2 linked regions of the Caenorhabditis elegans genome follow. The protein of the gene in region 1 interacts with the protein of each later gene in a pairwise test. Each region holds a gene or a part of one and is shown on either strand. Other genes may lie near its edges.

Region 1 (4,715 bases):
GATGATAAAATGATAATAAAATGAATACAAACAGTTAATTCTCTTTTTATGAAACAACCAAAGTAAATTAAACATTCTAAAACGATAATTTTAGATTTTTTAAAACTAGATATATTACCCAGATACGAAAGTTTGCAATTTTCACTTAAAAATACAGTACCAGGTCTCGACAAGACCAAATATAATCTCCACGCCCCATGGTTTTGCAATTTTATTTGTTGTAATTTTTACTCTAAAAACCTATTGGATGTGACAATATTTATCTAAAATTAAACAATTATATATATTTTTAACTAGCTTAAATGAAAGAAAACTGCAAAACAGTGGGCCGTGAAGGTTACTGTACTTCTTAAAGGTGCCTATCTCTTTTCATTTGGATATATTCGATCGTTGTAAGACCTTGTATCGTACTCCAAGATGTTAATAAAAAAAATTGTCAATTAAACTGGAAAATAGTAATTTGAATTAGAATTTTCAATGTTCCGTTTGATTCTTTGAAACTTCCAATATTGTTCGAGTTTCTTCACATGTGTTTTATTTTGAATCATAGTATTTATTGAACTTTTTTATGATAAGACTGAAATAAATAAAAAGGACGAGGAAAATGTGGAAGTACAAAAAAGAAAAGAGCGAGAAATCAAAGTAGCAGAAGGAGGGGTGAGTGAGGTTTTAGGCTGGCTTTTTAGAACAAGAATTTTTCTCTATGTATGAGCCATTACGTAGTAATAATAATACTTAAAGTTCAAGTGAAAATGAAGAATAAATAATCGGATGACGGTGTGGGAGGATCGTAAGCAAACGGGTCGAGATTATGCAAAAAATATTGGAATAAATATAATATTTGAGAACCATTACTTCTTGGCCGGTGCACTCGCTTTGTCTCCGAATTCAACTTGACATAACCGACATGAATACTCATCATCTGGAGCTTTTTCGAGCGCCGGAGTCAGACAATAAAGATGGTATCCACGATCACAGTCGTCACAGAAGAGCAATTTATCCTGAAATCCAATTAATATTGCACTTTATAAATATAATAGAAAATATCTTACATCATTTTCACTTGTACCACAAATGGTGCAACTCTTGCACTCAAGACACTGCCATCCGCTTCTTTTTATGATTTTGGTCACATTTTGATTAAAATTAAGACAGGAAGGATGACCAGAACGACCACAATCATGACAACTAACGAGATCCTCTGGCAATTTTGTATTTTTGTTCATAAAAGCAGTGCCGCTGCAGAAATCACAGCTAGTAGATATTTCTATACTGGGAGACAATACTGAAAAATAATACATTTGAAAATAGCTTGGAATGCAAAAAACTTACACTTAACCAGTGGTTGACTAGACTTTTGATCATGAAGATACGACTGATGATAGCTTAAACCCGCGAGGCTTTTGTATTTCGCGCTGCATTCTGAAAATTATCAAAAATTTTAAATTACAAACGAAAGGACTTGGGAAATATGCGGTTTGAAAAGAGTATTTTCAAATCACAGATTTCCCATTATGCCACATCATATAAGCTTCCAGGAACACTCAGTACATGCTAAATTTAGTGCCTATATTTCTACAAACTTCCTCTCGATAGACCCCGTGTCCCGGGTGGGAGAGATGTATTTTTGATCAGTTGAGCGGTTGCCGCAGGATTTTTTACTGAGGTCCCTCTCGCCCAGGTTTCTTTTACAGAGGGATAAAATACTAGGAGGGATATAAGAATGGGATATTCAGGATACATATTGGCTTATGACTTAGTGCAAATTGATAACGAGAGGAAGGAAGCTAATACATTTGATAAGATCCACAATTATGTGAAGAAGTACTACAAATCACACCACTAATTATGAAACTAATATTAAAAAAAGATCATACATAATCTTCCAAAATTTATTTTTTAGACCAAATTTCCCATTTTTTTGATTTAATTTTCCTTGGATCTCTGGAGAAACATGCATAATTAAAAAAAAAACTAAAGCATGCAAAAACATAAATAATCTCGTGCAATTTCCAAGCATCCTAATTTTTTGAAAAATCTCGAAACCGAATGAATCAAGATACGAAAAATTAAACTAAAAATCATGATGATAGTGTTCCCGGTAACTGACATGCTGTGGGCGATGGGGGAGGCAAATAAGACTAAAAAGGACAAGAAGAATGGTGTGTTCTCCTGGGCGAGAGGGCTTCGCTAATCCGCCGTACAACCACTCACTGTCACATGGATACGTCTTCTCCTCCGGTTCTTCATATTTTGTTTCCTTCACTATGGAACGAGATGGGGTCAATCGAGAGACAGAGGAACGAGTTGTTGGTACCTAAACAGTCAGAATAAAATTATTTAAACAATTGAATAAATAAAGAAACCTTTTTACGTGACGAAGTTGCTTTCTGAACAGGCCCCAAGTTGCCTTTACGGCGTTTACGCGACGACCAATCATCTTCATCGGAGCCAAACTCGTCTGGAGAGAGCTCATCGTCAAGAACGTAGTCATCACGATATTCCTCTTTGATCTGTGTTTGGCGGGATGGTCTGATGGTAGTTGAGTCGTTCGAACTATCAGAAACACTTTCTGCAAATCGAACTACAAAAATTAGGTTGAATCGTTCTGATGCTTCTCACCAGTTGTTGGTCCGACAACTTGTGGAGTGAGATGATCAATTGCAACCTGAATAGACGGATTCTCACGCAAAAACATGCTCATCTCAACAGCATCAGATGGTGGCTGTGACTTGCTCTTCTTCCATCTCTCGGTTGCGAATTGAACAACAGTATTTGGATCATTTGATGGATACATGTGATCCACGTTGCGGGTTGTGAAGCGAGACTCTCGCTGGGCCGTAGCCGTTTGATGTTCATAGTATGGGAACCGCAGTCTGCAACTTTTAGGGGCTTAGTACAACCAAAAAATAATTCCTAAATGCTCTAAAGATTTATCATTACTTAGATTATTCAGATTTCAAATGGATCTTTTTTAAGTAGCCGAAACATCAATAACTAACCGTTTTTTACGATCCTCCATTTGCCGGGAATTCCATTTAATGCAGTTCCGCATCAGGTCCATATATCCGTTTTCCGAGATCATTGTCTGTAAGATTAGCTGTCTTGGATTATTTTTAAACATTTTGATAGCTCAAGAAATCGGGCGCCCGGTGTGAACAAACAAAAAAAACAAGAGAATGAATGAACACTGATCGATAAATTGGACAGCTGCCGATGTACGCAAACACCAACACGCGAAATTGCGTATTGTCCAGCGTGGACTCGTTGGCTGATGGACCTTTTGGCTCGAGTTTTCTTCTTCGTTTCCGGCCTAAAACGTTTCGTTTTTCAATTAAACAGTTTAAATTTTTTGCGATAATTGATTAATATGTAGCTACGCATTATGTGAATACCAAAAAATGGTTGAAAAGTTCATGTAGGCCTACAATTTTAGAAAATCTAGGTCTTTCGAAAACAAAAAAAAAACATTCGGTATTCAGAACGTTCGAACAAAATGCTCTATTCAAACATTCTAGTTTTCATAGAATATTTCCATGCATTTTACCTAGCGAATCGAAATGTTTGTTTTTTTGTTGAATGCAGGGTTATGTGTTTTTTAACTGTAAATACACGTAGTTTTTGCATTCAATGTTTAAAAATTTTGTCTTTATGTTTTAAGTTCCATTTTTTAGTTTTTTTCAGTAAACCTTTTTAGCTTCGTTGCGTTGTATTTGCATTTTTCAAAATTCCCACGTGGCACATTCAGTGCTGGCTTTTATTGCACTCTTTTTTGTCTGCGAAAGGAAAACTCTAAACCATTTCTGTTCGTTCTCCGGAACTTTACCGTCCATATAATATAATTTTCTCTGTTCCCTATCACTCTATCCGTTATCTTTTGATAAACAACGTTGACCTCGATAATTGAAAACATACCCATTCACTGGAATGAATAGGTGTTTTCCAATTCATTTCATATTTGCGTTTTCTTTTCTTTACCTGATGTATGTATCTAAATTCTCAAAGTATGATAATTTTTAGGGTCATCATGAACATCTTCCGTATATCGGCAGATATGTCGCACTTGCTTGCGATTATCATCCTTCTGCTCAAAATCTGGAAGAGCAGATCGTGCTCCGGAATCTCTGCGCGGTCGCAGATTCTGTTCGCTCTCGTGTTCACTGCTCGATACTTGGATCTTTTCTCCACATACATTTCTTTGTATAACACTACAATGAAGGTAACTTTCTGTCCGTAACAATTATAAATACAATCAAATTTCAGATCACCTTCCTCGCCGCTACGTACGCCACAGTGTATCTGATGTTCTTCAAATTCCGCTCAACTTACATGCGCGAGTCGGATACCTTCCGTGTCGAGCTTCTCATCGTCCCAGCTGCGATCCTCGCTCTTCTCATCAATCACGATTTCGCTCCATTTGAGTTGCTCTGGACTTTTTCGATCTATTTGGAGGCTGTGGCCATTCTTCCACAACTCTTCCTTCTCCAGTCTACCGGTTCCGCTGAGGTAAATCTGGAAAATAATAAATAATACAATAAATGCGCCAAATTTGACTTCAGCGTGCAAAATTTTCCCTCTCAATTCGACATGCCGTAAAAAAGTGTAAAATCCAGAGATGGCAAAATTGGAGATAGTACAAGAAAATTGTTGTGCTTAGAAATTGTCGTTTCTCCCGATTCCAACCGTTTTCCCCGTATTCCGAATTTCGCGCACAT
Region 2 (3,876 bases), on another chromosome or scaffold:
ACCAAATAGCATTTTTTTTGTTCAAAATTATAGTGAAATTTTTTTTGCCAGATTTTTCGTGTTACAGCGTCCATATATTGATTTTTATTCAGTTTCTTCCATATTTTGCAGTATAATCCGCTTTTTTGATGTATTTTAATATATTTTTAGCTGATAGAAATTTCTGTTCCTATTGCCGAAAAAATGTAGTTTAATTCGCTAAGAAACACGGAATAAACCGACAAAATGTTAAAAAATTTGGCGAAATCGGGGATTTTCACTAAATTTAAATGAAAATCTCACAATCGGCCATGCTTCCACAATCCATATATTCCATAACGACTCCTTGCCCATTCCGAGGGCTTTTGTACAGTCCATAAATTCTGAAAAACTTCTATTTTCAGTATTTTCCATTTATAAAAACATACTTTATAATATTAGGATGATTTCTGAGATCCCACATAACTTTTGCTTCTCTTATAAGAGTTGCCATATGAAGTTGAGAAGAATATTTGATTGCTGCTGGCCTGAAAATAATATTTTGGTGATTTTATTGATTTTTTGTTAACTTTTGATAATTCCTCATGCTTTAAAAGAATTAAATTTAAATTTTTGAAGCTAGAAACGAACCTAAAGTCATCCTGCCTAGTTTTTCTATATCTTGTTTTCTCAACCAATCCATAAGTGCCTTTTCCGAGATAATGACTATTTAAATTATCAATACATTGTGCTTGAATTTCGGGAATATCAATTGTTGAGCACAATCCGGAATCTCGTGTTGTTCGTTGTGTTGGTGTCTGAATTTATTAATTTATTGAGTTTTCAGTGATTTTTATTGATAGTTTTGGTAAAAGCAGGCTTTATACGTCTTCAACTGATTTTTTTAAAAATTAAATACAATACTGTTTTTACAAGAAAACGTTATTTTTCTTTACTCAAAATCCATTAAACTTACAATTGCGGCAGGACTTGGCGAATGACTGGACGAACTACTAGACGGTTTGCTCTGTGACGAATTGTCCATTTCAGAGCCGAAACGGTGAAAAAAATGGTGATGGGCGGCAAAGGACAGGAACTGGCATGTGTTGTGTGTGTATACTCTTTCTCTCGCTCAGTGGAAACGATATAGTGCACAAGTAGAAGAAACTGCAGACGAATAACAAAATAGACCAACGGGACACAGACAGATTTCCGATTTAGACAAGGAAGAATGATGATTTTAAAGAAGTTACTGTAGCATGGCTGAAAATTGTTTTGATAAATACATAAAATTCAATTGCGCAGGTTTTACAGAAAATTCAAAATAAAGAATAATTGAATGTTTTAAGTTCTGAAAAGTAAAGAAATTACACAACGGGGAAGAAGTATGGAAATTTATTCAAATTATATTTGTATAAAAAATACAAAGATCGAAAATGTTCTAATTTTCTGTTCTTCTGTTCTAAACTAATTTTGTTAAATATATAAATAATGTTTTCAGCTTAATTCGAAATTGCAGAAACAATTCTTTGTTGGGGACACTGTGCTCAAAGGCGCATGACGCAACGAAACTTTTGGGTCTCACCACGAAACTGTCAAACACGGTAATCCTAAAATTTAGAGAAGCTGTCAATTAATTTATGAGTTTTGTTTGTCTTAATTTTATGTTTAAACCAACAAATTGTCTGCATTTTTTCTTCAAAAAATTTTATTTTTTACTTCAGATGTCAATTATTGATGACCGAACGGATCCATCTTACGACGGCGAGGACTACGAAGCTTCTATAACGGTATTTTATTTCGATTCTTATTTTTAAGATTATTGAAATGTTTCTAGTTCGGAACCTATCAACAAGAAGAAGTCGCCCCGTTTGCTGTTCATCAGTGTAATGTGTGTAATAAAATGTTTATGAATTATAAAGGTTATTCGCATAAAAATAGAAAGCTGAAATAAAAAAAAACATTTCAGGTCTCCAACAGCACTCTGTGATTCATACCGACACCAAACCATACATCTGCGATGTTTGTGGCCGAGGATTCCGATACAAATCGAATATGTTCGAGCATCGTACCGTTCACACCGGCTATACCCCTTATGTGTGTCCATTTTGTGGAAAACAGTTCCGATTGAAAGGAAACATGAAAAAGCACATGCGAACTCATGTGACAAGCAAAGAAGAGTTGGAAGCTGCTTATAGACCATATTCGAGGTTGGCAATCGGTCGACCCTTCACCTTCACAAATAGTTCGTGGTACGTATATTATACATTGGACGTACAATAAATATGTTATTCACATTGCATTGCACGAATTTTAAGAACTTCGTCCATTATATTATGTGAATAATACATTTATTGTACGTCCACCGTATAATACACGAACCACGAATTATATGTGTTGTACGAGGGGAATTCTGATATCTATCTCGTCTTAAAAATGATTTCAGCAATCGGCGTTCGTCTGGAATTATTCCGTCCGATGCTCTAGTCATTCGTGGGACATCGATGCCCTATTACAATCCAGAGAAGAAGCGATCGGTTCCGAAACTTTTATTGGGTAAAGATCCTTCAAAATGGGTTGATATGATCTGCCGAAACCAGCTTATCCCACTATCTTCATTTGACGATAAAATCATGAGAGCTACAATGCGATTGACTAACTGTCACATGGCATCCGATGTTCTAGAACAAGCTAAACCACTCGAGTTTGAGATGTAAGTTTCAATTCAATTTGAAATTACAGTACTCTTTAAAGGCGCACGCCCTTTTGTATTTTACAAAAAAAGAAGACGTGAAAAGACCAGCGTTTGTATTTTTACCGCAAATTATTATAATTATTGTCTTACTAATATCCCATGCAAAATCTGAAAATTACAGCTTTCGATGCCCAATTTGCAAGTGCGAATGTAGTGGAAGAGAGGATTGTCAACTGCATATGTATGCTTCTCATGATAAGAAAGAAGCTGAAGAACCAAATTATTGCACGGTAAATAATTGAAAATTAAATCTTGAATATCCTGTAAACTTTATTTTCAGAAATGCATGAGAGTATTCGCCGACGTAGATATGTATCGTCAACACCAAAGCTATCATTCTCGTGTTCAATTGATGATTCGTAATAATGAACTTGAAATGGTGAGTTGTTAAATATTGCTAATTCTTAATTGTATTATTTTGTTTCAGGGCTCTCCAGAAGTCGATATCTCTCAAATCTGCTACAGTATGATCACTAACACTGAAAATGAGATGAACATTCTAAAACCATCAGCATAGTTTTTCCCCTGAATTTTCCCCACATCCCTGTCTTTCTAACGCCCGTGTAATTGTTTTGTTCTGTTGCACTTGTTCCTTTCATTTTTATGAAGTTTTCATTTTGAAAATATGAATGGAAGACAAAATACAACAAACGTTGGATGATGGCAAAGTTTTTTAAGGAAGGAAGTAAAAAAGAAGCATAAAGGAGTTGGGAAATTCACAATTAAAGCACAACCAAAGCAGGACAAGGTGAAGAAAAAGACAATTTGGGGGAATGTTTGAATGGTAAAGCTGTGATAATGAGAGAAGATGATTTCTGATTTTAAGACATTTAATACACAGGGTTGGGGATATCAATGATACTTCTTTTAATTTGGAAAAACAACCAATTTCAGATTCTAGAATATAAATTACATTTATGAGACACACGTTTTGAATATCCCTCTCGCGGGGGAACAAAAAAAGATTTGAGGGAATCGGGAACACACAGAGAAAGAGCAGATGTTTTCGGAGAAAGCCGGGAAAAAAAAGTATGAAGAAGTGAGAGACGCAGACGAAAAGCAGTGCAGGTGGCTCATTAAAGAGGTAAACGAGTTGAGGTGGTGCATATTGATACTTTAAGATTATATGTTTGACGGATTTGAAGGTGTTTTGAAAACTAGAA

Evidence for each region. Proteins that work in one complex are often made in the same cells at the same time.
Region 2: the proteins of dpff-1 (region 1) and lsl-1 interact in a two-hybrid assay, tested with the Caenorhabditis elegans proteins (one large-scale study listed by BioGRID).

The regions. Positions count from the first base shown.
Region 1 is NC_003281.10:5,903,031-5,907,745, forward strand, and holds dpff-1 (Zinc finger protein dpff-1), read right to left. Parts: upstream 3,093-4,715; 5' UTR 3,086-3,092; coding exon 3,003-3,085; intron 2,877-3,002; coding exon 2,623-2,876; intron 2,585-2,622; coding exon of another isoform or gene 2,573-2,584; coding exon 2,367-2,572; intron 2,318-2,366; coding exon 2,215-2,317; intron 1,423-2,214; coding exon 1,333-1,422; intron 1,286-1,332; coding exon 1,053-1,285; intron 1,002-1,052; coding exon 852-1,001; 3' UTR 533-851; downstream 1-532. Other genes in the region: ER lumen protein-retaining receptor erd-2.2, read left to right, coding at 4,028-4,219, 4,264-4,506. UniProt on the Caenorhabditis elegans protein: Probable transcription factor, involved in meiosis and stress protection.
Region 2 is NC_003279.8:9,899,597-9,903,472, forward strand, and holds lsl-1 (C2H2-type domain-containing protein), read left to right. Parts: upstream 1-1,682; coding exon 1,683-1,748; intron 1,749-1,795; coding exon 1,796-1,880; intron 1,881-1,927; coding exon 1,928-2,168; intron 2,169-2,404; coding exon 2,405-2,671; intron 2,672-2,834; coding exon 2,835-2,943; intron 2,944-2,993; coding exon 2,994-3,092; intron 3,093-3,140; coding exon 3,141-3,230; 3' UTR 3,231-3,333; downstream 3,334-3,876. Other genes in the region: Mitogen-activated protein kinase kinase kinase mom-4, read right to left, coding at 283-362, 408-506, 610-776, 935-1,003.